3 linked regions of the Caenorhabditis elegans genome follow. The protein of the gene in region 2 interacts with the protein of the main gene of each other region in a pairwise test. Each region holds a gene or a part of one and is shown on either strand. Other genes may lie near its edges.

Evidence for each region.
Region 1: the proteins of sem-4 (region 2) and F27B3.6 interact in a two-hybrid assay, tested with the Caenorhabditis elegans proteins (one large-scale study listed by BioGRID).
Region 3: the proteins of sem-4 (region 2) and rabi-1 interact in a two-hybrid assay, tested with the Caenorhabditis elegans proteins (one large-scale study listed by BioGRID).

The regions. Positions count from the first base shown.
Region 1 is NC_003281.10:6,569,717-6,580,522, reverse strand, and holds F27B3.6 (uncharacterized protein), read left to right. Parts: upstream 1-1,917; 5' UTR 1,918-1,938; coding exon 1,939-2,193; intron 2,194-2,279; coding exon 2,280-2,630; 3' UTR 2,631-2,705; downstream 2,706-10,806. Other genes in the region: F27B3.8 (Zinc finger protein 263), read right to left, coding at 646-825.
Region 2 is NC_003279.8:7,034,393-7,045,935, reverse strand, and holds the start of sem-4 (Spalt-like protein sem-4), read right to left. Parts: upstream 7,037-11,543; 5' UTR 7,029-7,036; coding exon 6,953-7,028; intron 5,296-6,952; exon of another isoform or gene 5,225-5,295; intron 2,252-5,224; coding exon 2,103-2,251; intron 1,353-2,102; coding exon 1,254-1,352; intron 869-1,253; coding exon 758-868; intron 477-757; coding exon 161-476; intron 1-160. UniProt on the Caenorhabditis elegans protein: Transcription factor, involved in positive and negative modulation of transcription. Binds to multiple DNA sequence motifs in the regulatory elements of target genes, including homeobox selector egl-5 and LIM homeobox mec-3.
Region 3 is NC_003280.10:8,576,680-8,588,222, forward strand, and holds rabi-1 (GDP/GTP exchange factor Sec2 N-terminal domain-containing protein), read right to left. Parts: upstream 8,408-11,543; 5' UTR 8,372-8,407; coding exon 8,301-8,371; intron 7,917-8,300; coding exon 7,712-7,916; intron 7,533-7,711; coding exon 6,873-7,532; intron 6,594-6,872; coding exon 6,426-6,593; 3' UTR 6,355-6,425; downstream 1-6,354. Other genes in the region: puf-5 (Pumilio domain-containing protein 5), read left to right, coding at 23-429, 473-737; F54C9.9 (Protein KRI1 homolog), read left to right, coding at 1,377-1,460, 1,511-1,562, 1,608-1,890, 2,466-2,552, 2,597-2,860, 2,908-3,022, 3,119-3,460, 3,512-3,725 and 3 more; arl-1 (ADP-ribosylation factor-like protein 1), read left to right, coding at 5,331-5,441, 5,488-5,670, 5,730-5,978.

The sequences.
Region 1 (10,806 bases), on a different chromosome or scaffold from region 2:
TATAGAATTTGTATAATACAAAAGAATTGGCAAAATTGGCTCAAAATGCAAACAAACAACTGTAAAATCCTTTCTTCGAAGCAACTTTTTTTGAGGTGTACATAAGCTCCGTAAATCGACAATGGCCCTGTGAGAGATTCCCTACCATTTCATGGTCGTACATTAAAGTCTAAACAAGTAAAAATGTGAACCTCGGAAATCCGAAACTTCCTCCTCGTCTTGTGGGCGTGTATCTTGTTGAGCCTTCTTCTCCCTCTTCTGTCAATCTCGTTCGTTTTGTTTTCTCGTTACATTGATAGCAATAAAAAAGTTCCTTATTGGACGAGGATTTCCGTTTTCGTTTCCGTTCCTCATTTTTAATTCTTTAGTATATGAATTCTAATTATGAGAATGCGAGAAAATAAATGAAGAAGAAAACATTTGATTGCATCCAAAAAGTGCATCCAAAAATAGGCTTTCAAGAAATTGAGAATTTTCACTTATTCTGACAAGATTTTTCATTTTGGCTTCTTTTGGAATTTGGATTTTTGGAGAATTTTAATTGGATAAAAAATTACTTGTATTTCTGAGAAAAGCAGACCAAAATGTTACTTTTATAAAATTTTATGCGAGTTCTATAATACCATTGAAAAAATTTCCTTCGGCTTATGAAGATTCAGATGGGCTTGGCGATTTTGGAGGTCCAGATTCACTTGGTGCTTCAGGGAATGCCTCGGATTGTTCATCACCGCCTGGTTGTCCTGGTGCTCCGTCTTGCCATGGGTCTTCAGTGAGCAGTACCAGCTTTTCCCTGTGCTCCTGGAGCTCCAAAGTACCCTGCTGCATGGCTTACATGGTGGTGGAGTTATTGGTTCACATGGTTGTTTTACAAATTCTACATTTTAACGTGTCGTCTTAATTCATATTTTGAATACAGACCACACACAGTCTGAATATTCCAATTCGTCAGGGAGGCTTTGAGGAGCTACGTGGTTTGAAGCAGTGCTTCTGGATTAGAGTTTGAAGATAATTTTTCAGTATTAAAAAAATATTTTTGAGCATTTGGATGGTAATTGTTTCATTATTAAGTACTGCTTGATTTACAACCGTCGTTTTAGATGGAAATGAAAATTAATTTTAATGTAAGTTTTTGGCATCAATTCAATGCTACGAAATTATTTCAGTGTGCTTCCAAAGATCTTGTGAAGAGCGAGGATCCCATATGCAGCAAGAGATCTCTAAACCTCACAGAGTATCCTCCATTGAATTAAAATGCACAATAGTTGTTATCTGGAATAATCAGACTGTTTGCTACTCTCAATAAACAATTTCGCATTGCCTTTCCAATTTACTTTAGATAATTAGATATTTTCTTTCAATGATCGAATATCTCCATAAACAATGGTACCGTTTGGAAAACTGTTGTTACAGCAATCCACACGACACAATTATTGTGTGTTTATTGAAGAAGGCCACCTCTTCTTGTTTTACAACCACCAGAGAACTTGGTACATTGCAGGAAGTGGAGGTATTGGACATCTTCCAAATAGGTCATCCACGTCAGTTGATGGGCGGAGCAAAGGCATGCACAGATAGAGCCTAGCATATTCATTCATCTAGTCAATTAATCTCTTTACTGTTTCATTGTTTTTCCTTTTTATGTTTTTATTCAGTTTTTCCTTTTTTGAAGAAAATCAGCCTATCATCTTGTGACCGGCTAGAGCGACGCTGTACAGAACTGGCCTAGTTTTCTTCTGAAATTTCACTCTTATTTGTCCAGTGCAAAACCTCCCAGTTCTCCAAAATATGTAACTTAACGATTGAATGTTAAAATAATGATGAAAGCACTTATTTTACAGAAAATACAAAATTATATATATATATTTTTTTCTTAGCAAAACGCTCTAAAACTGTTTCTGATTTTGAAAACTTCAATTATTTCAGGTTAACCAAATCATCATGTTTACGATGTCCAAGAACATCAAAGGATTTGCTAATATGATTCGTACTGAAGATCCTATGGAAGTTTTCAAAGCTGTTGAAGGGCTCTTAGAGATGGAAATTCCATTCAAGTATTTCGAAAGATACAATTTGAAGGACCTGATTCTGTCCAAAGTTCTAAAGAGCATTGGCGGCTTGCTTATCAGAAGGCTCCAAGTTACACTAGAGGAGAAGGATTTTGAGGACAAGTTTCAAAAAGAGGATCCAGAATCTGTAAGTTAAAAATTATATTTTAAAATTTCTCTGTAGCTAATAGTTAAATTGGGAGAAGTCATATTTTGAGTTTTTATTTCTTTCAGCTTGAGGACGGTGAAATGGAAGAAATCCAGATGTTAATGATGACACCAACAAAAAACGATTTCATGAGAGCTCAACAACAACTGGATGAATGCGGATACAAGGATCTTCCAGAAGATATTCAAGAATCTCACGAGTTCACCCGTGCACTAACGGTGATTGATGCCTACCGCTGCGGCCATGAGACTCCGGAGCCAACCACTGAGTTCTTCAAAATCGACACTTCTGATATTAAAGATACCACAATGGACAATTTGAATGAAATTAACTGCATGGCTAATAAGGAAAACAGAGCAAGAGTTAATAAGAGCAAACAAACATCTCAATCGATCAGAAGAATTGCTCCATTTTGAACTTTTCAGAATTCTATAGATCTGTTTTATTTTTATTTTGCTTCTCAAGTTTTGATAAATGGTTATTTAAAATTGTTCAATGTGTAATTGTTGGATTGAAATTGAGCATTGAAGTTAGATTGAAAAAATCATAAGAACAAGCTTGTTCAATTTTTTCGTAATCTTCCTTCTGAACAGGCCACTTACATATAGCATTCACAGCATTTACTAAAAAAAGAAGAAGAATATTCTATATAATATATCTAGATAGCGTATTTTTAAAAATTTGCGATTTTAATGCTTGTTGTTTTCCTGTTGTTGTACATATTTAGAATAGCATGTTTTTGCGCGCAATTGATCAACAGGAGAGCGTCTCCGTCTACATATCTCTCATGAAATAACCCTCGAGAGACGCAGCTGTTGTAAGATAGTATGTTTGTGTTTTGAGTGTGGAGGCTTAGATGGAACGTTGATTTTCTTTCTTTCTTTTTGTTTTTTGAAATTTTTCATTTGGAATATGAATTTTCGATTCCTGTCTGTAATTTTCAAATATTATTTTCAACTAACATTTAAAATTTAAATACCCTCAATTTTTCAAAAAAAAAACCGTTTTTAAGCATTTACTTTTGTTGAAAAAGTCTTCAAAGAAAGATCCCGCCGCTAAGAATAATTATCAAAACAATTTTTTTTGTATGCGCCTTTGACATTACTGTAAGAAATTCCTGCAAATTTGTTTTTCTCATTTTGCCAAATTTTCTAAACACAAAATTACAAACAAATACTGAAAAAATAGTTTCAACAAATTTCTTACCCGCGGTGTGATCCATCAGCATACAAGTCCTAGAATTTTGCAAATAAATAAATACACTGTAAAAAGTATCAGGTTGTCCCATAAGTTTTTGTACTATTTTTTTTTTGAAAAAAATTTATTTCTCTCAAGCGACAAGTAGTACTATTCACACAAGTATTCACCATTAGTGTCCACCACTTGTTGCCATTTACTAGGTAACATCATGATGCCACGGGAGAAGAAATCCGGCGAACGCGATGAGAAGAAAGTGGAGAGTTCAGTTTTGAGATGCTCTTCGTCGTCGAATTGCTTGTCGCGCATGTAGTCACTGAGAGACAAGAACAAATGGTAGTCGGTTGGTGCAAGATCTGGAGAATATGGTGGATGCGGTAAAACAGTCCAACCAAGATCTTGCAGCTTTTGGAAAGTCTTCTTGGCGACATGAGGCCTAGCATTATCGTGAAGAAAATATAGTTTTTCATATTTTCCGTTGGTCTTTTCTGCAACTCGGTCCAATTGGGCACAATAGTAATCAGCAGTGATAGTTTTATTAGTTGGCAACAATTCCCAGTGCACGGGTCCTTGAACACCCCACCAGACACAGATCATAATCTTTTTTGGGTGAAGATCAGGCTTTGGCGTCGGTATTCCTTTCTCACCGATCGGAAGCCATTGACGTTTTCTGGAATGGTTAACATAGAGCACCCACTTCTCATCTCCAGTAACCAGATTGTTCAGCCAATCGAACTTTCGACGAAAAGTTAGAAGTTGAGTACAAACGTTGACCCGAGTGAGCTTCTGTGATGCCGAAAGTTCATGAGGCACCCAAATTCCAAGTTTTGAAGTAAAACCAAGGCGACCCAAGTGACGTGCAATTGTGCTATGACAACACTCAAGCTTCTCTTCCATTTCACGAAGACTAAGACGAGGCTCTTCCTCCACCAGCTTCACTAGGTCTTCTTCATTTAACTCTACCGGTCGCCCAGAACGTTCTATTTCTTCGAGACTGAAGTCGCCGTTCTTGAACTTTTGAAACCAACTCTTTGCTGTATTATAAGAGAGTGCTCCCTCACCCATCGCACCGCATATGTTTCGTTCCGCTTCCATTGCTGAATGACCAAGACGAAATTCATAAAGAAGAAGCAATCTAACGTCTCGACGTTCAAGTTTGATGATTGTCATCGTGGCAAAGTAGAAATGGATGAAATGAATCTTTTCTGAAAGGGGACGACCCGACCTTGACACGACCTACGATGAAAAAATTTTAAAACTTTGTAGAAGTTTTGGAAAAATATTTGAAAAAAAGAACAAAAACTTATGGGACAACCTGATATTTACTCAATATCGTGCTTTCTTTTTTCATTGTTCCATTTTTTAAAAGCCTATATTTCTGAAATAAGTAATATCTAAACAAAGCCACAAAAAATAATTGAGTAGTGTAGGTTTTAAATATACAGTAGTAGCTGGAAAAATGCTATCGTAATCTAAAGTTAATTTTTTTTTTGGTGTTTTCAAAATTTTGTTCAATCAATTTTAATGATTCTTCAATTTGTTTCTTACTTGTTAGGATTTGATGGACCAATTCAATGAACAAAAAACAACAAGAAAAAACATATTACGGACATTTCACGTGAACTGAATCGTACGTGCAACGTTGTATAACTTGAGGTATGAGAAAAAGAGAGAATTGAGTTACAGAATTTATGGGCTTTGCGTGTGGTACAGGTCGTGACAATAGTGAGAAATTAGGGACAGTTGGGCGCCAGGCGCCCAACTTGAACGATACGAGGGCCACGAACGGTGAACATTGGGGAAATTTAATGTGCTGATGTCGTTGCGAAGGGCCCGATCGTTCGGTGTTGTTGACATGACGTTGACTGTGCAGGAGCTGCTGGTGTTGTTGATGGAGCCGACTGTGCTGAAGTACGTGCTGCAAAAACGAAAAAGGACGGACCGAAAGTACTTATTATTGGTTAAGGTGGAGAAAAAAGGTAAAATGGTAAACCCACGTGATTCGATAATCCTGGCAGCTCCCGTAGTTCTGATACTTGAAGCTCGTCTGCTGCCCAAAACGAGAATCGTCGCCTCTGAACCCTGCTCCTCGAAAATTCTTCTGCTCTCGCGTTCCACCCAAATACGAAGTATCTACGATTTTCCTAAATCCCTGACACGAGCCCTGGGCCGCATCTTACACTTCCTCTCCGTTGTGGCTCCTGAATACCTGAAAATGGTGAACCGGATCTGAAAACACTTTATTATAATTAGGATAGTTTGTAGTTTGGGGATTATGGCAGTTTCCCATTCAAAACGACCCCGAAAATGAACTACCTGTAGTCTGTTATGAAGTCACCAGCCGCTGACCGCGCCTACGGCGCGGCCAACGACTGGCAACATTTGAAATGTTTGACACAATCATTCAAAAATGGCTTATGAAAAAATAATGAAACTTTCACATCTTCCCAAATGTTCCCGACTCTAAGCAAGAAACTATCAAAATATCTTGACATTATCCTCACCAATTCCCAAGCCAATACATTTTCAAAAACTTAAAACGCAATTTTCCACCAAACTCCAATAATCCTACAATAATCCTACAGCACCCCAACAGTACCACTACAGTACCTTGACACTATTCCCTATCAACTCCCGAGCCAACACCTCTTCAAAATGTTTTAAACTCAAAATTTCCTAAACTACAGTAACCCTACCGTATACCTACAGTACTCCTACAGTACCACTACAGTACCTTGACATTATCCCTCACCAACTCCCAACCCAATACATCTTCTGTAGAGAAAAACTCAATTTTTCCTAAACTACAGTAACCCTACCGTATACCTACAGTACTCCTACAGTACTACTACAGTACCTTGACATTATCCCCCAGCAACTCTCTACCCAATACCTCTTCCAACTACAGAAAAGAGAGTTGAAAGATCAAAGATCAAACTACAAACTACAAACGGACGGAAGGACACGCGCTTTATATATAGTAAATTGATTGATCTCGCGACTCGTTTCCGATCCCCTGTTTTCTCCACTCCGTTAGTTGTCCTTTCCTTATCCAGGTCTCGTCCGAAACCCTACCGTATACCTACAGTACTCCTACAGTACCACTACAGTACCTTGACATTATCCCTCACCAACTCCCAACCCAATACATCTTCTGTAGAGAAAAACTCAATTTTTCCTAAACTACAGTAACCCTACCGTATACCTACAGTACTCCTACAGTACTACTACAGTACCTTGACATTATCCCCCAGCAACTCTCTACCCAATACCTCTTCCAACTACAGAAAAGAGAGTTGAAAGATCAAAGATCAAACTACAAACTACAAACGGACGGAAGGACACGCGCTTTATATATAGTAAATTGATTGATCTCGCGACTCGTTTCCGATCCCCTGTTTTCTCCACTCCGTTAGTTGTCCTTTCCTTATCCAGGTCTCGTCCGAAACCCTACCGTATACCTACAGTACTCCTACAGTACTACTACAGTACCTTGACATTATCCCCCAGCAACTCCCAACCCAATACCTCTTCTGTAGACAAAAACTCAATTTTCCTAAACTACAGTAACCCTACCGTATACCTACAGTACTCCTACAGTACTACTACAGTACCTTGACATTATCCCCCAGCAACTCTCTACCCAATACCTCTTCCAACTACAGAAAAGAGAGTTGAAAGATCAAAGATCAAACTACAAACTACAAACGGACGGAAGGACACGCGCTTTATATATAGTAAATTGATTGATCTCGCGACTCGTTTCCGATCCCCTGTTTTCTCCACTCCGTTAGTTGTCCTTTCCTTATCCAGGTCTCGTCCGAAACCCTACCGTATACCTACAGTACTCCTACAGTACTACTACAGTACCTTGACATTATCCCCCAGCAACTCCCAACCCAATACCTCTTCTGTAGACAAAAACTCAATGTTTCCTAAACTACAGAAACTCTACCGTATACCTACAGTACTCCTACAGTACCACTACAGTACTTTGACATTATCCCTCACCAACTCCCAACCCAATACCTCTTCTGTAGACAAAAACTCAATGTTTCCTAAACTACAGAAACTCTACCGTATACCTACAGTACTCCTACAGTACCACTACAGTACTTTGACATTATCCCTCACCAACTCCCAACCCAATACCTCTTCTGTAGACAAAAACTCAATGTTTCCTAAACTACAGAAACTCTACCGTATACCTACAGTACTACTACAGTACCTTGACATTATCCCCCAGCAACTCTCTACCCAATACCTCTTCTGTAGACAAAAACTCAAAATTTCCTAAACTACAGCAACCCTACCGTATACCTACAGTACTCCTACAGTACCACTACAGTACTTTGACATTATCCCTCACCAACTCCCAACCCAATACCTCTTCTGTAGACAAAAACTCAATGTTTCCTAAACTACAGAAACTCTACCGTATACCTACAGTACTCCTACAGTACCACTACAGTACTTTGACATTATCCCTCACCAACTCCCAACCCAATACCTCTTCTGTAGACAAAAACTCAATGTTTCCTAAACTACAGAAACTCTACCGTATACCTACAGTACTACTACAGTACCTTGACATTATCCCCCAGCAACTCTCTACCCAATACCTCTTCTGTAGACAAAAACTCAATTTTTCGTAAACTACAGTAACCCTACCGTATACCTACAATACTACTACAGTACCTTGACATTATCCCCCAGCAACTCCCAACCCAATACCTCTTCTGTAGACAAAAACTCAATGTTTCCTAAACTACAGAAACTCTACCGTATACCTACAGTACTACTACAGTACCTTGACATTATCCCCCAGCAACTCTCTACCCAATACCTCTTCTGTAAACAAAAACTCAATGTTTCCTAAACTACAGAAACTCTACCGTATACCTACAGTACTACTACAGTACCTTGACATTATCCCCCAGCAACTCCCAACCCAATACCTCTTCTGTAGACAAAAACTCAATTTTCCTAAACTACAGTAACCCTACCGTATACCTACAGTACTCCTACAGTACTACTACAGTACCTTGACATTATCCCCCAGCAACTCCCAACCCAATACCTCTTCTGTATACAAAAACTCAATTTTTCCTAAACTACAGCAACCCTACCGTATACCTACAGTACTCCTACAGTACCACTACAGTACCTTGACATTATCCCTCACCAACTCCCAACCCAATACATCTTCTGTAGAGAAAAACTCAATTTTTCCTAAACTACAGTAACCCTACCGTATACCTACAGTACTCCTACAGTACCACTACAGTACTTTGACATTATCCCTCACCAACTCCCAACCCAATACCTCTTCTGTAGACAAAAACTCAATGTTTCCTAAACTACAGAAACTCTACCGTATACCTACAGTACTACTACAGTACCTTGACATTATCCCCCAGCAACTCTCTACCCAATACCTCTTCTGTAGACAAAAACTCAATTTTTCGTAAACTACAGTAACCCTACCGTATACCTACAATACTACTACAGTACTACTACAGTACCTTGGCATTATCCCCCAGCAACTCTCTACCCAATACCTCTTCTGTAGACAAAAACTCAATTTTCCTAAACTACAGTAACCCTACCGTATACCTACAATACTACTACAGTACTACTACAGTACCTTGACATTATCCCCCAGCAACTCTCTACCCAATACCTCTTCTGTAGACAAAAACTCAATTTTCCTAAACTACAGTAACCCTACCGTATACCTACAGTACTCCTACAGTACTACTACAGTACCTTGACATTATCCCCCAGCAACTCCCAACCCAATACCTCTTCTGTAGACAAAAACTCAATTTTCCTAAACTACAGTAACCCTACCGTATACCTACAGTACTCCTACAGTACTACTACAGTACCTTGACATTATCCCCCAGCAACTCCCAACCCAATACCTCTTCTGTATACAAAAACTCAATTTTTCCTAAACTACAGCAACCCTACCGTATACCTACAGTACTCCTACAGTACCACTACAGTACCTTGACATTATCCCTCACCAACTCCCAACCCAATACATCTTCTGTAGAGAAAAACTCAATTTTTCCTAAACTACAGTAACCCTACCGTATACCTACAGTACTCCTACAGTACCACTACAGTACTTTGACATTATCCCTCACCAACTCCCAACCCAATACCTCTTCTGTAGACAAAAACTCAATTTTCCTAAACTACAGTAACCCTACCGTATACCTACAGTACTCCTACAGTACCACTACAGTACCTTGACATTATCCCTCACCAACTCCCAACCCAATACATCTTCTGTAGAGAAAAACTCAATTTTTCCTAAACTACAGTAACCCTACCGTATACCTACAGTACTCCTACAGTACCACTACAGTACTTTGACATTATCCCTCACCAACTCCCAACCCAATACCTCTTCTGTAGACAAAAACTCAATGTTTCCTAAACTACAGAAACTCTACCGTATACCTACAGTACTACTACAGTACCTTGACATTATCCCCCAGCAACTCTCTACCCAATACCTCTTCTGTAAACAAAAACTCAATGTTTCCTAAACTACAGAAACTCTACCGTATACCTACAGTACTACTACAGTACCTTGACATTATCCCCCAGCAACTCTCTACCCAATACCTCTTCTGTAGACAAAAACTCAATTTTTCGTAAACTACAGTAACCCTACCGTATACCTACAATACTACTACAGTACTACTACAGTACCTTGGCATTATCCCCCAGCAACTCTCTACCCAAAACCTCTTCTGTAGACAAAAACTCAATTTTCCTAAACTACAGTAACCCTACCGTATACCTACAATACTACTACAGTACTACTACAGTACCTTGGCATTATCCCCCAGCAACTCTCTACCCAATACCTCTTCTGTAGACAAAAACTCAATTTTCCTAAACTACAGTAACCCTACCGTATACCTACAGTACTCCTACAGTACCACTACAGTACCTTGACATTATCCCTCACCAACTCCCAACCCAATACATCTTCTGTAGAGAAAAACTCAATTTTTCCTAAACTACAGTAACCCTACCGTATACCTACAGTACTCCTACAGTACCACTACAGTACTTTGACATTATCCCTCACCAACTCCCAACCCAATACCTCTTCTGTAGACAAAAACTCAATGTTTCCTAAACTACAGAAACTCTACCGTATACCTACAGTACTACTACAGTACCTTGACATTATCCCCCAGCAACTCTCTACCCAATACCTCTTCTGTAGACAAAAACTCAATTTTTCGTAAACTACAGTAACCCTACCGTATACCTACAATACTACTACAGTACTACTACAGTACCTTGGCATTATCCCCCAGCAACTCTCTACCCAAAACCTCTTCTGTAGACAAAAACTCAATTTTC
Region 2 (11,543 bases):
AATTGATAATTTTTCAGCGAAACGTGAAAAGCGAAGGGTAAGTTTTGAGTTCAAAATTAACTTTTGCTTTTTTCAGAGAAAATTAAGAACCATATTGCTTTTAAAATTGCAAGCTTTATTGGCAGATTCAGAATTTTTTCATTTTTCGTTGTCTACTCACAAGGTGGTGGCATATTAGGAAACGCTGCAAACGGTGGAAACGCATGATTGAACAGTGACGCCATTTTCGATTTATCATCTGATTTTTGTAGTAGGTGTCCAAATAACTGATTTGCAACATGTTCACCATCTTCAACATCCATGTCTTCTTCTTCGTCCTCTTCTCGAATCTCCGATGTTCCAATTGATTCATTTATTGAAAATTGAAGACATGGAGTTGTAGGTGTTGATAAGAAGCATACAGAAGATGGAATTGTCGATGGAGGTACTGATGTACTACGGGATGCTAATGTTTTTTGGCATTTGTGCTCCCTAATCTAAAATTTTATATTTTTAATTTAGCAGATGTTTTTGAGAAATTAGGGAAAACCTCACAAGCAGGGGAAGTTAGTTCAGCTGAAGATTAAAAAAAACTATTTATTTGTAAGTTTTTTTTTAAATTAGGTTATTACAAAAATATGACGAATAACAAAAATTCATTAAACTGAAAAATTTTCCGATTTAAATTTTAGGAAACATTTTTGTGTTAATTTTTTTATGTCTTGTTCTCAAGTTTTTGGGTTGAACTGACTTGTTTTCCTTATAAGTAAAAGCTTACATCCTGTCCGTTTGAAAACGTTGTTGTACAAACATCACACGAAAATATCTCCTGCTCATCTTCATGAGCATCCAATACATGCCACGTCAGTGCTGCCGGAGATGAAAAACTCTGAAAACAGAAAGATTTTGAGAATCCCTCCCTATTCACTAAAAAATATCAACTTTTCATGTTTTTTGATTTGGCAACATTCACCTCTTCTTTTTTCCCCCCATAGCCTCTTTTCATACCAAAAATTGCGCGACATTGAATACATACAGTAATTTCATTTTTATTGGTTTTTGTCGTCGTTGTGATCGTCGTCAACGTCGCAACATCTCGTTTTTTGAAGGAAGGGGGGCCTTTTCTTTGTCAGACAAAGTGAATGAAACACGACCAAATAATACCATTAAAGTTATGGCTGGCACAAAAGGATACGGTAGGCGAAGAGGTCGTTGTTACCCCCCCCCCCCCCCTTTAAGGAAAAGAGGTGTTATTATATACATAGAATACCAACCTGAGAGCATGACTGTATTGGACATGATGATGTTGTTGATGCTGTTGATGATACATTTCGACTTGATGAATTTCCCAGTTGAGCACATAATGATAGAAACTGAAATTATAATATTCTCATTATTTTAACTTCAGCAACTGATTTTTGAAATTATACATACTGTAGTTGATTCTCCAGTGATTACAAAAGATGTTTGAATCCCTATTTCCTAATAAATATTTAATTTAATGATCGGCTTGGGTGTGGGAAAATTCGATTATGTACTCGCTATATTTTGCCGAAATTGGTAATTAATGAAATTTTTGGCAAGGCCGGTTAATGTGAAATTACCAAAAATAGAAGATGAAAGAAAATGATGAAGATGATGAAAATATGATATGAATGGTTGATGTTTGGGTCATTTTCCTCTATTGAGAGATTTTCATAAATTCCGTCTAATGATTAGGTCCTAAACATAAACTTTCTAAGCCCTTTCAAAATGCTCTCCTTCCTTTACATCTTTCAATTCATTAAAAACCTACAAAACTCTGAGTGTTTTCGAAAGAAGTGTAAAAGTTCACTGAAAATTTTCAGATCGGTTTTTCCAGTTCAAAATGTTAATCTGCCGCTAAATTATCTGTGTAAATGGGGTTTTTTTTTACAAATGTCTAGAACTGTCACAGTTTTTATTTTTGGTAACCGTAATACACTTGTGGTTTTTGTGGTCCCAATATTTGGGTTCTCGGAATAAAAATTGAAATGAAATGCTTAGAGAATAGTTTGAACAGATTTTAAACCTCTTTTAAACAAAGTTTTGCACCTAACAAGCTAGCCTTTTCAGTTACAAAAACATCTCTCTTAACTGCCTACCTGCTGTGGATTTGCAAATGGCACAGAAAAATGAGGTAAAATATTAGATCGATCCTCCAATGGAAGTGCTCCACCAGCTCCCTTCTCACAGTTATTTTCATCAAAACTCTTTGTCGATAAATCAATTGGAGACATCATCGCATCACCTTCTGTAAATATGTATTGTTATTTTTTAACTTTTTTGTAATTTCTGTTGTTGCAAGTTAAAGATTTAATGGACCCAACTCTCTCTAAGCTCCGCCCACTCTCTCTTCATTTATCTTTAATTTAATGTGTACCAAATCGGTGTCAATGGCGCGGAAAAAACGCAAAAATTATGCACGTCTTCTCCGCCGTCGGCGATCCGATTCATCTCTCTTCACAAGAAACAGAAGGGGTCGTAAAAATCGCAACAAACCGACGCAAACACATACATACACAGTTTGACATCGGTTGCTCGTTAACTTTTTGTCACACAAAAAGTCATCGTCGTCGCGTCAGATCGAAGGAAGCTGTATGGATGAAATAGCGTGTGAATTGAAAGAGATTCTTAACCATTAATGTGTGCGGAGACCCCGTGGAGGGACGGAAGAGGAGGAGGCTTTATGGGTTCGGAACCTGTCTCACCCCTCTCATTGAAATCTTTTTTCGCAACATTTATAATTTCCGAAACGCTTTTTTGTTGTTGAAAATAGAAATCGATTTGATGATCCGGAAGGGTATATTACCGTATTCGAAACGGAGACTTAATGGAACAGATGAACGGAGAGAGAGGAGGAGGCATCCGATTGGATGATGGGTGGAGACTTATGAGAGGGGATATATTATGATTGATTGGTTTGGAAGAAAAATGAATATGTGGAGATATTGGGAAGAGCAACATGATAAGTTCATAAAGTTTTACCAACTAAAATAGAATGGAGTGTAAAAGATTTTTACAGGCTAAATCTAGGTATCATTGTGTTCAAGGGAGACGTTTCAAGAATGTTTTTGAAATGTATACTTGTAGTCGAAAGTTTGAGTCGCTCCGTGTTCACCTATCCTAATTTTTGAAACAAAGTTTGCCTTCGAACAAACTTTATATTTCAGGTTTCTTTTTATTAATCTTGCAAAATTTTGAAAATTCTGAATTATTTTAGTTTTTTTTCATTTCGAGTATATTTCTGCTCAGCTGTCTATTGCCATTTGGACATATGAGCAAACGGCTGAAATGTTGAGCCCTATTATTTCCAACTTCCGAATTTTCAGAATTGAACGTTGGTCAATTTCAGTTTTTTGCACCTCACAGTCCCCCTAACTTCTAGGCAAAAAATAAATCTTACTCCTCCTGTTCCACATTCTTCAGTTATCAATAAAACAGAGAGTATCGTCCCTAAATAGAAAGTCATCTATATACCAATTTAATAGTAAAATAAAACTTCTCCAAAAAGCAACAACCTTCCTTCCAAATGTCATAAAAAATTGTAAAAACGGTAAATGATCAAAAGAAGAAGAAGGCGTCGGAAACACATAAAACTTCATCCCCTTCTCCCAACAACGACGTCTTCGGGTCGCAACAAAACATTAAGAGTTTCAAATTGAACAAAAAAATTGAAAAATAATTGCGAGAATTAGCCAAAATTAGAGAAAAGGAATGAAAATGAGGGGGTGAAAAGGTTAAGTACGCTCTAATAAACATTACGAAAAAGGCAGCAAAAAACGAAGAAGGAGGTGGGTTTAACGGAAAAATTAAGACGATGTCAACGATTGATTATTGACAAAAAGGGCATGATTTGATTAACTTTTCCGCATATTACAACTAATTCGAGTCGATTGGGACACGATGTGTCTACAGAGGAAAGATGGAGGATACTGTAAATATGATAACGGCCGATTGAGAAAGGGGACTATGATTGTACAATTAGAGACATAATTTGAAGTTTTCAAACGAACAAATTAAAACATCGAAGCAAAACGACAACTTCAAGTATTTAGATCAAAAGATCCAAAGTAAATCCTGTTTCTTCAAAAAACACTGGAAGCAACAAATTTTGAACTTTCTAGATATCTTCAATTGTTTTAATATAATTTTGGGTAACCACACAAAATGTCGCTGTACATTAACTGTATAAAGTAAATTTCAATTTGAAAATTTTTAAAGTGAATGATTCATTTCTTTGAGAACTGGAAGACTGCTCAAAATTGGATATTTTTAGGCTTTAATTTTTTTAAATTAAAATTTCCAAAAATATTCCAAAATGTTTGCATACCCCTAGAGACCTTTACAATTATAATTTTTTCCGAATTCAATTTAAGAGCAAAATTACGGTCCTCCAAAGTAGTAGTAAATAGACTCGAAAAATCTGCTCTCAAAAAAATTTCAGCTGAAAGTTAAAACAAAAAATCTCGTCAAACTGCTCGGAAAATCAACGATATTTCTTAACCAACTTTAGCGTTTTTCTAGGTGCCATTTACGGAAGTGGCCGAAGTTGGCGAAATTTGGCTGAGAATTTGGTGACGAGTTGCCTTTTGCAGCTGAAATCTTTCAATTATCAGATAGTACTGGATTCAAAGGAACTACCCAAACTTTCGTTCGAGGCGAGAATTACATGACGCTATCTATTTTCAGTTTTGAACTGTTTGATTGTGCAAATATCGTAATTGAGCCCCTTAAAATAAAGTACTCTGGTAACTGCAACTCATGAGCAAAAACTCAAAAACTCTTCATTTTTATCATCTTATCTGTGTGCGAGTCAGTTGGTTTGATATCATCCATTCAATAATAGTCTCATTCATTCTCTTCTCACGCGCTCATAAAGAGTCCTCCAATGTTAATGAGTGTTATCCAAACGCTCCTCCTCCCCAAATATCTTTTTTTTCAACTCATCTACCTCTGCTACCATCAAAAATCCATAAAATATATGAGATGATGATACTCTGCTGGTCCTCAAATACACACTCTCACACACACATTGTGACACACACACATAATGTTTCAATTTTCGTCTCCATCGTCCAACCAATTCATATTGCTTGTTGAAGGAGGAAGCTCTGATATTGCACACTATTTCTCTCGTATTACACAAAAACACTATAATAAATGATCGAGTTTCGAGGGGAGAAGACCCACAGAAGAAGAATTCTGATTCGCAACAACAACGTCTTCATCCTGCCACTCTAAACTTCTTTTGTGTTCGATCATAAATTCGATTTTATGATGGCTCGACTCGACTCGTGTCGAAGGCGGCGGCTCGCGGACCTCGAACACAATAATGTTGCCACTTGAAGCACAAAAAAGAGAGAATCAATAAGGCTTTCAATAGAAAAAAATAATAATGGGCTCAGCCAATGGAAGAATCAGCAGAGAGATGAGATGACAATAAGTCTCAAGTCTCACACACAAGAGCACTTGTTCGTCACAAAAAATGATTTGTGAAGATGAAGCCGAGAGCTGATGGTGGTGGTTTAGAGACAACTGATACCGGAAATTATGATACAAATGATACACTTCTTTTCTCAAAGATGAATATAAAATTTTTTTGAGCATACGTGCCTGCAAGGCAACCTCGGCCTAATAGTAAGCCTATATATCTTTAAATAAAAAAAGGTTAATCTTAAATTTCAACATGTTTATAGAAAATATACGACTGTAAAATTTGTATGCACATACACAGGCAGAAAGTACCAAGAAATATTCTGCATACAAAGTCATGCTCTAAGAGACTGGGTCTTCACATTCATCGAATTGTCAACAGCTGTTGAAATGTTTGACAGTACTGAATGGAAAATTAAACTTTTATTGTCACAGGTGAAATATTTGTGAAACTCGTTTTGGTTAACATTATCTACTAAAAACTTTCAAAACAAATTTCAGTCTTGCTCTTTGAGCTGGACACCAAGTTCAAATTGTCAAATTGTCATCCCCTTTTCAACATGCTCTCATCCTTTCTCTCTCATGTCTGTCTGTCTCAGAACTTGCCAAATTGATTGGTTTTCTTTTTCTCCGAAACTCTTTCTCCCTTCCCCTTGCACTCCCATATTTGGACATTTTCTCTCTCTCTCTCTCGTTTCTCTGCTTTCTTGCTCTTTTTTCTCTCTCACTTTCTCCTCATAGTCGCTTATGATTGGATGGAAATGTGACGGAGGGGCGGAGCAATATGAAAAGATGAATGGAAATATAATAAGTGTCTCTGGTCTTCGGGAGGAGCTCTTTGGACTACGGTAGGTTTTGATTGGTTATGATTGAAAGAATCGAAGGAAAAGCATTGAAAAAACACTAAAAATGAGGTAAGAAGATACGAAAGAGATAGAGATAAGAGATATGTTATCATATTTGACAAGGTTCTGTGTTGGAAACATTTTAATGAAAAAGTGTTCCTTGAAGTGGAACAGATGTGACAGATTTCTCATTAAAACTTAAAAAAATGAATGAACGAGAAATATATGATAAATTATATTTAAATGAAAATGCCAAACTAGGATGGTTTTGGTAATATTAATTTTTTTTTAATACTGGTTTTCTAGCAAATGTCTCGTCCGAAACTATTCGAAGTAATATGAATAATATTGATAAGTTGATAAGAGGAATTGACATTAAAATTGTAAATTTACACCAATTTATTGTCTCCTTCCAATTTTCATTACTTATGTCCCAAAAACCCATAAAAACTAGTGATAACTGGTTTTTCTAGAAAGTCTAAAAACCTTCAAAAATGTAGAACTAAAATGATTTTGAAACATTCCAAAAGTGCGTTTTAAGTTTTAATATTCAACTTTGTTATTTTCGCAGAAAATTTCAAGATTTCAAGGTCGATCATCATCGCCTTGTTTCATTTTCTTGTCTTTTACTTCATTAAACACCCCGCATTTTCCTCTCATTTCCCTCAACTTACCACCAGACATTCGACGTGGTTTTGACTGTTTTCTGCGGGATGAAACCGCGGCCATCTCGGCGAGCAGCTCATTCATCTGGAGCTCTGAAAAGTTGAAATTACTAGAAGATGAGCATGATAGGCAAAGAATGAAAGAGTAATAGTGGACAAGAAGAGGGAAAAAAGCAGAGAAAAGGATACAAAACAACACACACAGAGAAAAGAGACAGAACAAAAACGATTTATATTAGAAAGATGAGAAGGCGACGGGACAAGGGGGCACATATTGCGAAAACAAGGCTATTATCAAAATTTATATTATTAGAGTAAAATGGTAAAAGTATTGAAGACACGAGATGGCAGTAAGGGAATGGGAATGGAATTCAATTGACGATAAAAAATTGAACTTTAAAATAGAGTCATTAATCATAAATGATATTGCTCGAATGAGCTAGTTATCGAGCGGCGAGCCTATAGTCTAAATTTGCCCATAATGCATTTTTGGAATGAACATTTTTGAATTATGCACCGGCTCGCCATTTGTCTTTGCAAAAGTTACGAAATACTTGGTTATATGACTGGGTTTAGGCCGCACCCAGATTCAGCCCAAAATTGATCTAACTCTTTTCAGCGTCTCAGCCAAGTTTAAAACGATACAATACAAGTTTCACAACAGCTAGATAAAACGTGAGTTTAATTTGGGTACATCATAAACCAGGACTTTCTCAAGTTTGCCCCGAGCTTTGTCAGTTTTTGAAAGAGTAATTTTTGGATCAACCATAGGCAATCAGTTCGCGCCAAATGACGAGTATAGCCGCAGAAGAATCTTGAATCGGATGATTTTTTTCGAGTGTAAATATGAAATTTTGTTGTTCATGGTTGGGTAAAGAAAGAATATCTCAAAAAATGATCAGGGGAAGGTAGTGAGTGATGATGTGAGTAAGTGAGGGTGTAGAAGATGAAAATCGTATAAAATGAGTGAGTGAGCGGTTCCCCTTTTCCATGAGGTGGATACGGTGTTGCAATTGAAATAGTTGGAAAAAAAGGATGGAAAAAAGATCGGATCGGTATGAATATAAAGTGCGAGATGCGGTTGAAGATTCCGTTAAATTTGGTGGGGTCTGAGTTCTGTTTGTGTGTGTTCTACAGGCTTTTCGGATTATGAGTCATCAGATCTTGTAGACTAGAATTATTTTAGGTTGAGTTGTAAAGTTTGATTTCTAAATTTAGATAGGAAATGAGGATCGGACGTTTTCAGATACAAGCCTTAGTGCAAAGCTAACCCAGAAATTTGTTATAGATACATATATCGCTATAAAGTGACAGTGTCCCTTTCTCGCAAATTGTGGCGTCACAATTAGTTTCTAGTACAAATCATTTTTAAAAATCATGCTCGACGCCAGACTACAGAAAAAATGGTTGCTCCGTCTTGCAGATGTTAAGCTTCTGTAAGTGAGCTCTGAAAGGTGTTAGCTGAGATATTAAAAATAACATGGCAGGTTGAAATTGTTTTATGTGAAAATGGAACTACATTATTGAAAGTTCTCAAGAAAGTCTCAACCTCAGAACTTGACTAAAAAAGCAGAAATTTCTAAAAATGGCAAATCAATGAATGAATAACTGAATTACTTGCATGATTTGTTGAATGATTGATAAAACACTAATTGAATTAATGAACACAGTCAACCCCAGAAAAAGTCTTTTTTTTTCTCTCTTCATCAGAAGACGTCGTCGATGATTCGAGACGAATTTGATGATAATTGTCACCCCCGTGGTGGTGGTGGTGAGGGGAGACATATTCGATTCGATTCGCGCCAGGTACTCATTCTTGTACCTGACGCTCCGGGCGCCTGTGTGAGGGACGAGATATGATCTGGTAAAATATGAGTTGTTGCAAAAGAGAGAGAGAAGGCGACCGCCACGGGAGACCGACACGTCTTCTCCCTCATACATGACTCCGCCCATTTTGTTCTTTTTCTTTTTCACTCCGTTTCAGAACTGATAGAGATGCAAGTAGTTTGGGCCCCCGGCAGTTCCGAGACCCAAAAGCCCCGCCCACTTTTAAATTGCCCATTTGAGATAGTGAGAACGAGAAGTGAGAGGGTGCAGAGAGGCAGAGATAAATGAATTACTACTGTGTGGGGCTCTCGATGATGATGAGGAGAAGCCTCCCCGGGCCTCAACCATGGGGCGGCTGTTTGTGTTGCAATTTTATGATTTAGCTAGATTGTGATGGAAGAGGAGCAATGAAAAAGAAAATGTTAGAATAGAGAGAATACAAGTAATCTACTCAAATTGGGAAGTTGATGATAAAACTAGGTTTCCGTGAAGTTAGACAAATAGAAAGGAATCTTTGGGGCCAAACAAATTTACCTTCTGCAAACATCGTACTTCTTTAAGTCATATTAATATTTCACCCCCAACAATTTGTATAAAACCAAAGAATCGTGATATGAGCAAGAAAAACAAATACGGTCTATTAAAAATTAGCAACAAACTTATTTTTTAGAACTTCCTAGAAGTTTCACGGTAAGTTGCGATTGCTGGGCAGGCAAGTAGGTAGGCATTTTTGTGTTAAATTTCATCAGATTCCAATTTCGAAATGTTTTTATTTTGAAAAAATTACTTCAATTAAAAAGAGATGAAATACTTTTAATTTTTTTAACATCTTTGAATTCTAGAACTTGTATGAGATTAATTTTTGATTATGCCTTCCAGAATCAGATGCACAAAATCTAGATATTCCAGTTATAAATGGAGTACTTTTAAATTTATGAGTTATCTAGGGTTACTGTAGAAAGGTGTCTAGGTTACTGTGTGAAAGAAGGATGGTACAAGTTGAATAACTTGATCGAGTCCCAATCCATGTATGACATACACGAGGCACGAGCAAAAAAACGTATGTCGCGGGGTGTCGTCGGTTAGTAAAAAAGAACAAATATAAGAATTTGAGGAGTAGGATTGCGGAACAAGGAGAAGCTTCCTCTCTGGTCTCTATAGAGAGACGGTAGAGAATTAAAGACAACGGTATGTACAGGAGCAAGACGAGACGAGTAATCATCCATTTTCTTCGGGTTTTTCTATTTCTTAGTTGCTCCTCCTTTTCCTCTCATAAATCATCACAATATTGACATTTCGTTTTTTTTTTCTCTTCGCCTTTATTCGACCGCCCGTTTGCTTTTTGCTTTTCGTTTTGCGTAAAGTTGTGTTTTACGGTAACGAACATGATGACAGGATCGAATTGCTTCTTCTTCTTCATCATCAATGTATGCTTTTTTAGTTCCATTCCATTTTCTCCCGACAAAGTGCTTTTGCTCAAGAAAAGTTGGGTAATGGTCAGAGAGCTAAAGGGTAACTGGATTAGGGATCAACAGATGGTTTGGTTCGCAAATAAACGGCGCTTGAGCCTCTCCACCTACAATGACGTGGCATATTCGATTAGATTTTTTGAAAAATTGAGAAACAGTATGACACTATTAATTGTTCTGTGACAGCAATCAAAATGAATTTTAAATTTGACATTTGGAGACAATTATTTTGACAAGAAGCTTCCCTAACTCATTTTCTTTTGAGATAGAAAAAAGATGTCATGTTTCAATTTGTCATCAAATACCTTTTTATCTAGTTTTCCAATAAACCAAGGAATGTAGAAATAAAAAACTTCAATTAGTCATAATGATTTCGAATTTTTGTGATACGGTGAAATGTTGATTTGATGAAATTCAAAGATTTATTGAAAGGCCTAAGTCTACGCCTAACCTTAAGCCTCAGCCTAAGCCTAAGCCTCACCATTCTTGAGTTCTCAAATTTTCAGCCAAAGTTTCTGTAAACTGACCATTAGAGATTTGACCATACAGAGTTGTAAGCCTTGCAATGTTCACGAAAAAGTTAGTTGAAATCAAAAATTAGGATGGTAAGATTTGAAAAATCAAAACATTTGAAAAAGTTTTATCATGCTATTTGGTCATTTTGAAAAGGAGTAAGTTCTTCACCTTTACGGCATCGGAGATTGAAAAACCTTTGGCATCGGCTATTGTTCTCCAACTCAAAACAAAACAAGTTCTATAGATTTTCATATTTTCAATTAGATATCCACTTGAATGATATTCCATATCCTTCCTGTTTTATCATTTCTTCAATTGTTCCCTTCATCATCTGGCACTTCCTGCCCTTCTTCCTTTTCTTCACTAACCCTATAATCTGATGCTCAAGAACAGAGGAACCTAATAGAATTGCGAATCAAAAGGGCATGTTCGACGACAAAATTAACTGACTGACTACAAGAGGGCACGCCAACCTCATATATGTTATGTCAAAAAAATCATTAACAATTCGGGTGTGTGCAATCCAATCTTTTCCGCGACAAGACAAAGAAATGTGTCGGCGTATCTTCGTCTCGTACACTATTTTTCCTCTCACAGTAATCGGCACGTTCATTTTTCCAAGGCGGTGTGGGACACGGGGCGCCATGTCTTTTGTGCACCTCCTGTCGATTTGAAACGATTAAAAATTCGAAAAAGGCGAAACAAACCAACCAAACATACATTTTGCATATATTACTGTAGAAATAAAAAGAGGAATTGTTAGGAGAAGAAGAACGGAGGATGTTGAG
Region 3 (11,543 bases), on a different chromosome or scaffold from region 2:
GGGCTAATGTTAAAATTTCCAGCTCCATTGCTTCAACACACGTCTTCAGCTCCTGCATGGACTCATGACATCAGTGGCACGCAACTGCTTCCGACTTTCATCGAACGAGTTCGCTAACTACGTCGTTCAATACGTCATCAAGTCCTCTGGAGTCATGGAAATGTACCGTGATACAATCATCGAAAAATGTCTTCTCCGTAACATTCTATCGATGTCGCAAGACAAGTATGCTTCCCATGTTGTGGAAGGAGCTTTTCTCTTTGCTCCACCTCTCTTGCTCTCAGAGATGATGGACGAAATCTTCGATGGATATGTGAAGGATCAGGAGACGAACCGTGATGCTCTGGACATCTTGTTGTTCCATCAATACGGGAACTATGTCGTCCAACAGATGATTTCCATCTGCATTTCTGCACTTCTCGGAAAAGAGTAAGTGCAACCAATCCAAATCAGTTCAACAAAACTATTTTAGGGAACGTAAGATGGTGGCATCGGAAATGCGCCTCTATGCCAAATGGTTCGATCGGATCAAGAATCGTGTCAACCGTCATTCCGGCCGCCTTGAGCGTTTTTCCTCTGGAAAGAAAATAATCGAGTCGCTCCAGAAGCTCAATGTGCCAATGACGATGACGAATGAGCCAATGCCATACTGGGCTATGCCAACTCCACTCATGGACATCAGTGCCCATTTCATGAACAAACTGAACTTCCAGAAGAATTCCGTCTTCGACGAATAATGTAATTTTGTGTATGTACCCCTTACTGCCACAATACCCCAGATTTTGAACATATTTTATCGCACCCCCATACTCGCCCATTGTACTATTAATTGTTTTTTAATTGATACCTACTCGCCTCTTTTGTAAGTCGCTAGATTGTGCCTCTACTAGAAACGCCATCTAGTGATAATAACCGACGCTTCGCTTCTTGTTGCATATGTAGTTGACCCCATCGCGTACTTTTGTACATTTTGTGCTTATATAACTTTTGTAACATAATGGAAGTAATTTTTAAAGGTTGCTATGGTGTCGTAATAAAGACAATTGTAGCTTGAATCGTGTTTCTATACTTTTTATTATAAAATCAGTATTTATAAATCAGTTGACTGTCATTGGTCATAAATATATCTTATAAGAAGGAGATAATTCATTTTTATTTGATCGAAGTTCTTCAAAACTTGCGTTTTTTTTTCCACGAAAATTAATGCAAACGCGCTCGGTTGAACTCGTGTTGTCACATCTCTTTTTCTTCGATTTTTTGCCAATTTTGAGAATTTGTTCTTTTTATTATATTAGTAAGCTTAATGTTTTATTTTCCTGATGAAAATTTGAATTTTTAAATATTCATCAAACAAGCTTTATTATTTAAGAAACAAAATGAACAAGAAGAAGAAGGTTTCTCTTTTTGGAGAAGATGACGCAGAAGAGCAGCAAAATGGAGCTGGTTGGGAGATTAATAAGGTACATATTTATTGTTGTGTTTTAAATACATAAAATTATATTTTTCTCAGGGTTATGCTCAAAAATACGACAATTGGAGGCGATTGGAGGAAATGCAGAAAAGTAATTTATCTACTCTGCTTCGTTTATTGACAATTTTGTTTTCAGTTAAGGACAAATATGGAGATATTGATGATGACGATTCGTCAAGTGAATCAGAACCGGAATGGACCGAAGGCCATGAAGAAGCTTTCCTTAAAACACTTGGAGCTCTCAAGTCCGGAGATAGTTCATGTTTTGAAAACGGAAAAGGCTTTTTCAAAGACGTTCAGGATGCTCCATCGAAACCAAATAATAACCCCAAAAAATCTAAATCAGAGAAATCAAAGAAGAAAGACGAAAAAATGACAATCAAGGATTATGAACGAAAATTGGTTCTGGAAAAGGGAGGGTTAGTCAATTAATATTTAATAACTTGCAAAAAAACTGAAACAAAAAATTTTCGCAACATTTTTTGGTTTAAAACTGTATAATTTCTACGAAAGTTCAAATTATCTACTTGTTAATTCAATGCTACTGGAAGACTAGATTTATTGTGAGTCGAGGTTCACAAATATTTCTCTAAAACGAGAATAGTTTCTAAAAACTGCTTCCACGTTTCAATCAGTAAATTGAGATAATATCTGATATATGAGCACATTTTGTTGACCTAAGCTTGTACATACAAATTTCCCATTGAATAATCCACGCAACAAAGACAAGCAGGGGGCATCTTTTTCCATGCGCTCTCATCGAAATACATACTATTTAAGTATGGTGCCCCCTGCTGTCCAGTCCATTTGCATGTGTCCATCGGGAGATGGAATCCGATAACATCTCCTTTCTCATAGTGGAAGCTCTTCTTTTCATTTTTCCCCTGGTAGTTTTGGCTTCATTAGTTAGTAAAACTATTTCAGTGAGTTCATTGAACGCGCTGTAAATGCTGAACGAAACCTTTTTGAAACCTGAATATGGACAATTTTGCAGACAAATCGACGAAAGTGATGAAGAAGCCGAGTACAACAAGACTCAGCAGAGGGGATACTATGAGGAGCAAGAGGAAATCAGAAAAAGGTAATTTTCATAAATCAAATAATTTAAAGCGGATAATATTTCAGCCTCTCCGCCGCAATTAACGCTGACGATGGTGCCGACGATGATCTTCTGACAGAACGAAAGAAAACAAGTAAAGAGCAAGAAGACGAGGATGAAGATTTTTATCAATGGATGAAGTCGGAAGATGGAAAAGCTGATAAAAAGAAGGCAAAAGAGTTGAAACATCTGAAAAAATTTTGGAAAGATGATAAGAATATGGATGAATCCGATAAATTTCTCAGAGACTATTTGCTGAATAAAGACTACGAGCCCGGAGAGAATGAAGAGTTAGTTGTTTCCTGAATACGTAAAAATTAATTTTTAAATTTTCTAGAAATCCAACATATGAGGATATCGTAGCTCTCGAAGAGGATGAAAAAGACCTTGACAGCAATAGAAAATATGAGCATAAATTCAACTTTAGATTCGAGGATCCAGATCAGGAATTTGTAAGTATTGTTGTCAATATTTCCGAAAAAAGATTTTTAATTTCTATGAGAAAAATAATGACGATTCTCTTTACACCGTAAAAGATTAAAATTAAGATCAAACAATATCCTCGTACAGTTGCTGAATCAATGAGATCCGAAGATTCTTCTCGTAAAGACAAACGACACGAACGGGAAGAACGTAAAAAGCGTGAAAAGGCAGAGAAGAAAAAAGAATTGGCAGAGCTGAAAAAAATGAAACGATCTGAAATTGAGCAGAAACTTGGAAAACTACAGAAAGCTGCTGGAATCCATATCCCATTAACTCTTGATGAGCTGAACGCTGACTTTGATCCTAAGGAATTTGATAAAAAGATGCAGTCAATTTTCAATGATGAGTACTATGGAGTTGAGGAGAATATTCAAGAGAATGAGGACGAAAAGCCGATTTTCAGTGATGTAAGTTAACTGTTTTTTGTCTCCTACCGTATCCAACTCTCTCATTTCCAGATGGAAGACAGTGATTATGAGGATTATGACAATTTAGATGTAGACGAGTTGAAAAGAGAAGAACAAGAAGCTGACGATGACGACGAAGAAGATGAGGAAAGTGTTGATGATGAAGATGAGCAAGAAGTGCCAAAATCGAAAAAATCTGCAATGAAAAATGGAAAGTTCGATATGGTGGCTGCCGCACAAAAAGCAATGTCAAAGGATAAAAATGGTAATATTGTAATTTCAAGATATTTTTTGTCTTATCATCTGTTCTTCCTTTCCAGATAGTCGTCGGAAATCGAAAAGGAACGCTTTGAAAGATGCTCTTGCAAGGAAGAAACCTCTGTTCAATCCGAAGGAAAAGACGTTTGAGGAATATTTCAATGAATACTATGCTTTGGATTATGAAGATATTATTGGTGATACACCAACAAGATTCAAGTATCGAGATGTCGAGTCAAACGACTTTGGATTGAGCACTGATGAAATTCTGGAAGCTGATGAACGTCAACTGAACGCGTGGGCATCATTGAAAAAAGTTACCGCTTATCGTACATCACAGGAAGAGTTTTTCGACCGGAAAGCGTATCAAAGAAAGGCTGAAGATGTTAACAAAAAGAAACGAATTCTTTCAATCGATTTTGGAGGGAAAAAATCACTGAAAAGAAAAATGGAAGACGAACAAATGGAGAAGGAGATGGCCGAGATGAATGATCAAAATGATAACACCGAAGAAGATGCTGAAAAGAAGAAAAAGAAGAAGAAGAGAGGAAAGAAGAAGGTTAAACTTACTGAGGTTTGTATTAAACTTTGAGTAACTAGTTCTAAAATATTCATCTGACTTTCAGACTGAAAATCCCGAAGAAAATATGACGGAAGCCATTGAAAATGAAGTCGAAGAAGTTGACAAGCAAGAGCAATTACCTGTGCCGCAACCTGAAGAACCCGAAGCTGCTCACGAAGCTCCAAAAGAAGAAAAGAAGAAGACAAGAAAGAGGAATAAGAATAAGGTGGGAAATTCAATAATTTGAAACTTTTGTAAAATTGAAAAAAAAACATGAAAAAAGTTTTAAAAAAATTAAAAAACTATTCAAAACTCGAAATTTTTCAGAACAACGTAATCGCTGAAAAGTTCGGACAAGGAATGACGGATTCTCGCGTGAAAGCTTATGGATTGAACCCAAGTCGTCTCAAGAAGGGACTCGTTTATGGACAATAATCATCCGGTTGTTTTTTTCCTAATTGTTTTGTTTTATTAGTTCATTCTAATTGTTATTTTTGTGTTTTGTTACTGTTATTTTTTTTATTATTATGAGGAAAATGAAGTGTTTTTTTTGCATTTTGATTAAGTTTTTTTTTTCCTTTAAAGGTTAATTTTACCTTTATATTATCTTTATTATTAAAATTTTTCGCAACTCACCTACTTCCTCATTCTCCCACACTTTCAAATCCTAACCTTCTTTCTTCATTTCACAGACTGACATATTTAGTGCTCGCTTCTCTCCAAAAACATAGTCAGTGAGCATTTTTGAGAGAGTTCTTCGACCCTTGCTAGGTCCATCCTTCCTGGCTCCTTTTGCACCAATCTCTTCCGTCTCTTTTGTCTTTGAAAAGTACGGAATGGTGCTTTCCAGTGTAAAATGAGAGGATTTTGGTGTTATTTTAATTTATTTCGCTAATATTTAAGACTATTTATAAGAAAAAATTAAGAATTTATTTTCTAGCCTTCTACGTTTTTTGCTCGTAAATCCACGTTTACTTGTATTCCTATTTTTCAAAACGTTTCAAAATATTTCCGATTTCAATTTAAATATCTGTGTTCAGATCAGAAGCAATGGGAGGAGTAATGTCATATTTTCGTGGCCTCTTTGGCGCCCGCGAAATGCGTATTCTCATCTTGGGACTTGATGGAGCCGGTAAAACGACAATTTTGTATAGGCTGCAGGTTTTTATTTCTGGCTGAAAACAAAACCATATAAGCTAAGTTTCAGGTCGGTGAAGTTGTGACCACGATTCCAACAATTGGTTTTAACGTGGAACAAGTCGAGTACAAAAATTTGAAATTCCAAGTCTGGGATCTTGGAGGACAAACATCGATACGGCCTTATTGGAGATGCTATTATGCGAATACTGATGCAATCATTTATGTTGTGGATTCTGCTGATAGAGATCGAGTAAGTTTGAAATTTTATTTTATTTTTTGTAGTAAGGATTTTAATATCAACTGTTTTAGGTTGGAATCTCTCGTCAAGAACTTGCAACAATGCTACAAGAGGATGAACTTCAAGGAGCTGTTTTAGCAGTTTTAGCCAATAAACAAGATATTGCTGGATGTTTGACTGAAACTGAAGTGTACAAAGCATTGGGATTGGATGCTCTTCGTAATCGTACCATTCAAATTTTCAAGACATCTGCTTCAAAAGGAGAAGGGCTCGACCCAGCGATGGATTGGCTGGCGAATCAATTGCAACAGAAAAAGTGATCAAATTCACGTGAATTCGAAGATTTATCATCCAAAATGAGCCCAGAACAAATTGTCTAAAATCTTAATTTTCTAGAATTGTAGATGATTTCTGGGCACTCGTAATACATTTTAATTCTCCATATTTTGTTTAGCTGCAAACACGAGGTGTGTCTTTCTCTCTATAATTCTGTGATTTTTCTTCCTTTTCTTCTATCCTGTTCTGTTCTTTCTTTCCTTCCTTTTTTGTCTTCAAAAATCTCGTTTTATTTAATTTCTATCCGCTTAATGATTGGTTGTTCTATTGCCTTATCCCAATGTTCTTGAGATGATCCGTTTTATAGTTGTTTTTTTGTAAAATGTAAAAACGAATAATTTATACCACCAAAAAATTTGTAATTGAATTATTTATTTGTATAAAAAGTGTGAAAGACCTGTAGTTTCAAATTATGGTAAAATACTATTAATTCAATGATGGCGTATGTTGGAACGCGGGACAAATCCTAGCCCCAGTTTGGCAAGTGACATGTTTTTCCGCAAGTTTACAACGTGAAAATATGAATCTCGAGGCCCGGGTTTGATCAAACCTTGGGACAAGTATCGGATACACGTGAAGAAGTCACAGACTGCGGCAATCTGTAAATCTTGAGTTAATTGAGAAATCAAGATTACGGTACCAGGTCTCGGCACGACTGAAAGTTTTGAAATTCAGGTTGCGAAAAAAAGTGTGCCTTTAACGAGTAAGGTAGTTTCTATTACGTTTTCTAAGTAAAGGGTTTCGAAAGAAAATAACGAATAGAATGGCAAAACTGTGAGAAGTGAAAACTACCGTACTCTTTAAAGGCGCGCACCTTTTTGGCAGTCTCAATTAAAATTATCAATCGTTCCGAGACCAAGAAAAGTGGAATAACTCACCCTATTCCTGGCAATTAACGAAACATAATGCCATTCTTGTTCCTCATCACCAGTTCTTACTCGATACGGACAAAACCTTGAAGCATTTGTTAATGCACAAATCCTTACAGATGGTTTCAGTTCATTTAATGGTTCAAGTTGAACACGATTCTCTCGAATTGCCTTCATTATTTCTTCTGATAACTCAGAGTTTTCGAATAGCATACATGGTTCAACTTCTTCAACGGTAACTCTATCAATAAATGGATGAGATGTCGTCGGATGTCCAGCTTCTCTCCAAAATTCAAATTCAGAAAAAAGAATTGGATCGATCTCTTCAACTGCATTTGCTTCTTTTTGTTCTCTATCTTCTGATGGTGTTAGTGTATATGTTGATGTAGATGGAAGTGATGAAGCTTTCTTTTTATCTGATACATTTGCAGCGTCTTTTTGTTTTTTTGATGATGAACTTGATCCATTGAATAGTTTTGATAAAGTTGATTTATGTTCTGGAGATGTTGTCTGCTTGAAATGGTTTTGACCCATTCCTGGAGCAGATATCAATTCTTTCAATGCACGTACTTCTGCTTGAAGAACTTCAACTTCAAGTCTTGATTCGGTTAGTAGTTTTTCTGCTTTCTCACGACGAGCTTCTGCTGTGTTTACCATTTTGTACGCCTCCTGTAAACTTGAAGATGTGATGGGAGTTTTGAGACTTTTTCATCGGTTTTCAATATCATTCTTATCTTTTTTACTTGGTCAACTTTCTAAAAATTTAAATTATCTTATGAAATTTTGAAAATCAAAATCGAGAATTTTTATAAGCTAATTTCTCAGGATCGGAGTTGTACTGGTCTTACCTGAAATAATTTTTCAGTAAGTTCTTGAACTTCTGCATCCACTGTCACTTGAATTTGTGTCATCTTTTTATCTTTTTCAGCAAGCGCCGTTCGTGTTGCTCTGAGCTCAGCCTGCATTCTCAAAAGCTCCTCAGCCCTAGGACTCATTAGCTCAGAGTCGGATGATGTCGAGGCAGATGATGATGTTGTGCTTCTGGCGGAGATTCTGAAAATTTAAGTTTGAAAGAGTTACTCGAATAATGTTTAGGGATGACAGCATTGTTGAGTTAGATTTGTATTGTTTTTGTAGGCAATTCAGTTGCCAGAGTCTAGAGATATCAAACATGGGTAAAAGTGAAAATGGTAGTGTTCCACAAAGAAAGGCAAGGCATTAACAATGAAAAGTTCGGCACTTCGTTCCGCAGATTCACGAAAATTACTCTTTAAGGAACCTATGAAACCGGAGAAGAAGAAGCACAGTTACATGTGGACTACTGTGGTCATAAAATACTATATAATGAATTATATTTCATTAAAAGAAATTACATAAAAGTGTATAATAAGAATCATTTACAAATTGTCAGTAAATTAATTAATATAAACATCTTACCTCACATTATCCTGGGGATCGACTGACAAATCGAGATGAATTGGGTTCAGAACAGAAATTGTATCAACCATTTTTGCATAATTTGTATTGCTTTGATAGTTTTAATTCTGAAATTAAAGTAAAGTATTAATGTATGTCAATGATAGAAAAGAGAAGATGTCTGTAGATGAAAAAGAAACGGAGATGTATGTTTTTTTCATTGATAACGTAATACAGATAGATTGAAGACAGGAAGAACGGGTTTTGGTGATGTAACGAAGGGGAATGAAAGTAAAAAAGGGAGGCGGGAAAGACTGGAAGAATAAGGTTCCTTTATAATCCCGAATGGATTATAAAGAAGACAAGATGTTGAGAAGAAGCATTGCGAAATGATTCTGAAATATCAGGGAATTCATGAAAAAAACTGGGAAAAAAGTCAGATGATTCAGAGAAAAAACACGACGAAGATGAGGATTGAACTTTGGGAAAGATAGAAAACAGGAAAAGAGAGAGAGAGAGAGAAGAGATGACACATGTGCTCACAGACAAAGATTCTTCTATGACCAGAGAGTAACAACAATAACACATAAACACAGAGATTGATTGGAGAGAAATTTTGAAGGGCAATTGAAGTTGCAAGATGTTCCTCAGAGCTTTAAAACGAATGGGGCATCGGATCATAATAATTTGATAATTTTAGATCTCGGCTAGAGACTCGAGCAGAATAATTTCATGCTATTCATTATTTGTTTTCGGAACCTTCATTTCTAAAACAGCTACAGTAAAGCTTATTCTAGTTAGGTATGTAACAAAAACATCTAGAGCATATCACATTTTGCAAGATGAATAAAAACCTGCAGCCTATACAAAATTGTCGTTTTATCGGCTCCGTTTTGAAAGCTCATGACATTGGTTTTTTGCTAGCAATCTGAACTCCATTTTAATTGACACCTGGATGCTTAACTTTTATATAGTAACCTTGAGAACCGTCAAAAAGTGGCGATTATTCAGTTTTCTGGAAGTCGAGGACAAAACCATAAACGATGATTTCCAATTTTCCAAAATCGAAAAACTAGATATAGAACATCAGTAAGCAATACACTGCCCTAAAAGTTCCAAGTTATCTCGATTAGAAAACATGAAAAGTGAACAAAAGGCTTGTCCTTCTACGCTTTTTTTACATGAAAAAAGTGCAAAACGTCCTTGGTTTTTCATCAAAAGGTTAGTTATACGACCACTAATTTCAAATAACCCTGTCCCAAAGAAGGAATGGAAAAAAAAGAAAAAGAAGTAAAATGAAGAGAAGAAAAAAGTTAGCTATTCATGAAGAAGCAGTTAGCGAATAGGAAAGAAAGGAGCCACCACACGGAAAAAAGAAGAAATTGAAATTTCGTGAGAAAAGTGTAATCAAAGAAGTAGAAGAAGTAGAAGAAGTTAGAAAAAAAACGAAACAAAAATAGAAGACTACAAATTTTTTGGAAAAAAAAACAAAAGAAGAATCGAAGTCACCTCGTAAAAAAATGTAGATCTCGTAAGAGCTGTCCGAAAGTACCACAAGATAATACTCCGAAGCTGAAAAAATGGTTACAGACAACGTTTTAAAATGTTTGACATTGTAGATATGTGAAAAGTACAAAATTGGCTTCAGTATAGACTTTTTGTTGACTTTGTGGAGCCAATGGAGCACGGGTTACATCGAATCATACTTGTCCAATCAAAAATTGGAACCTATTCCCATCAACTTTTCTTCCAAAAAGGAGACGAGTACAGCAAAACAGAACAACACGCAGTGTTTATTTTGCGGTTTCGGTTTTCTTCCATTTCTCCGTCTAGATCTCTCAACACTATGTGTGTCTGTATTGTATTGGTAGGTATTGCAAAGAGGAATCCGATCAAAAGGGAACGGCGGCCAGATTTTACGGGCAAAAAAGGTACTCAAAAGGGCTTATACAGTCACTCTTTAGAAAAAATAAATGGCGTCAGATATGGAATGTGGATAGTGTTGAAGTTAGAGCCATGTATCTAAATGAGAAACTAATCGAAGGTTTTCTACAAGGGAAAAAGTATAATTAAGAGTTAGAGAAGTTTTTCAAGAACAAGTTTCAACATTTCACACAGCGTTGGTTTTCGTACCAAAAGCTGACATGGTTAGTGATTTTCTGCGTTTTTTATGGTTTTGTACAACCTAAAACCGTCTTAAAGCTTAACACATGTTCTGTCGTATGCAAAGAATGGTGAATGAAAATAAATCGAAGAACATGTTTTAGGATGTGGTTGGGTTAGCAATAAGGTCATTCGAATTTACCGAAACTTGTGAATATACTTAACAAGGATCTTCGTTTTGACAGTACTATTTAGAAGTTTATAAACTTAATGTTTTTAAAACTTGATTTTAAAGAAAACTTTGAATAATTTTACAAAAAAGTAACCTATGCAACAGTAGAAAATATCCCAACAACATATAAAATTAGCCAAAATCAATCGAGATTTCTGTTTCTTTTGGTTCAATTAACTTTCCACAGCCTCACCACACTAAATTCAAATAATTAGTTAATTTATAGAATCAGGAAACTACCGAAAATGGCCTATATCAATCAAGAAAGAAACTAAAAAATGATTCAGTCCTCTCGGGCCTTCAAAATATTAGAACTTTATTTGGTTTCAAACTGCACAACACAGTGATCATTTTTTTAACATTCAGCCAGTAAGCTTAAGTCATTTTCTGGGAGAATTGTGCATTTTTCAACTATAACAAACTCAGTTGAAATGTTACAAGGGACTTTTGGATTTCAAGTGATGATATAATTTTGAAATACCAAGCAAACAGAAGCTTCGAGAGAAAATTAGGTAAATCGAATTCAGAAACAGATTCAATTGGTGGAATAGAAAACAGAAAGAAGAAGAAGAAAAAGGGAATTCGAAACGAAAAGTTTGCTTCAGAAACGGAGGAAGGAAACGACAGAAGAAGGGACGACAATCGCGTGTGTTTTGCCTAAAATGGGACGAGCAGGACCACAAGGAGAATGAAGCTTTGAAGCACTGTCTGCGTCTCCAATTTCCATAAACTGTCTCAATATTTCAAGAGAACAGATGGGTGTCGCGAAGAATCTAAACAATCGAGAATAGTTGAAGAAAATGAAAAGAAAAGGAAGGATGAAACATCATCATAAAGATGTGCGGAGATTATCTGAAATGCATTGGGATGGGGTGGGAAGAAATAAGAGAAAAAGAAGGAGATAAAGGTTCAGAAAGTCAGACAATTCA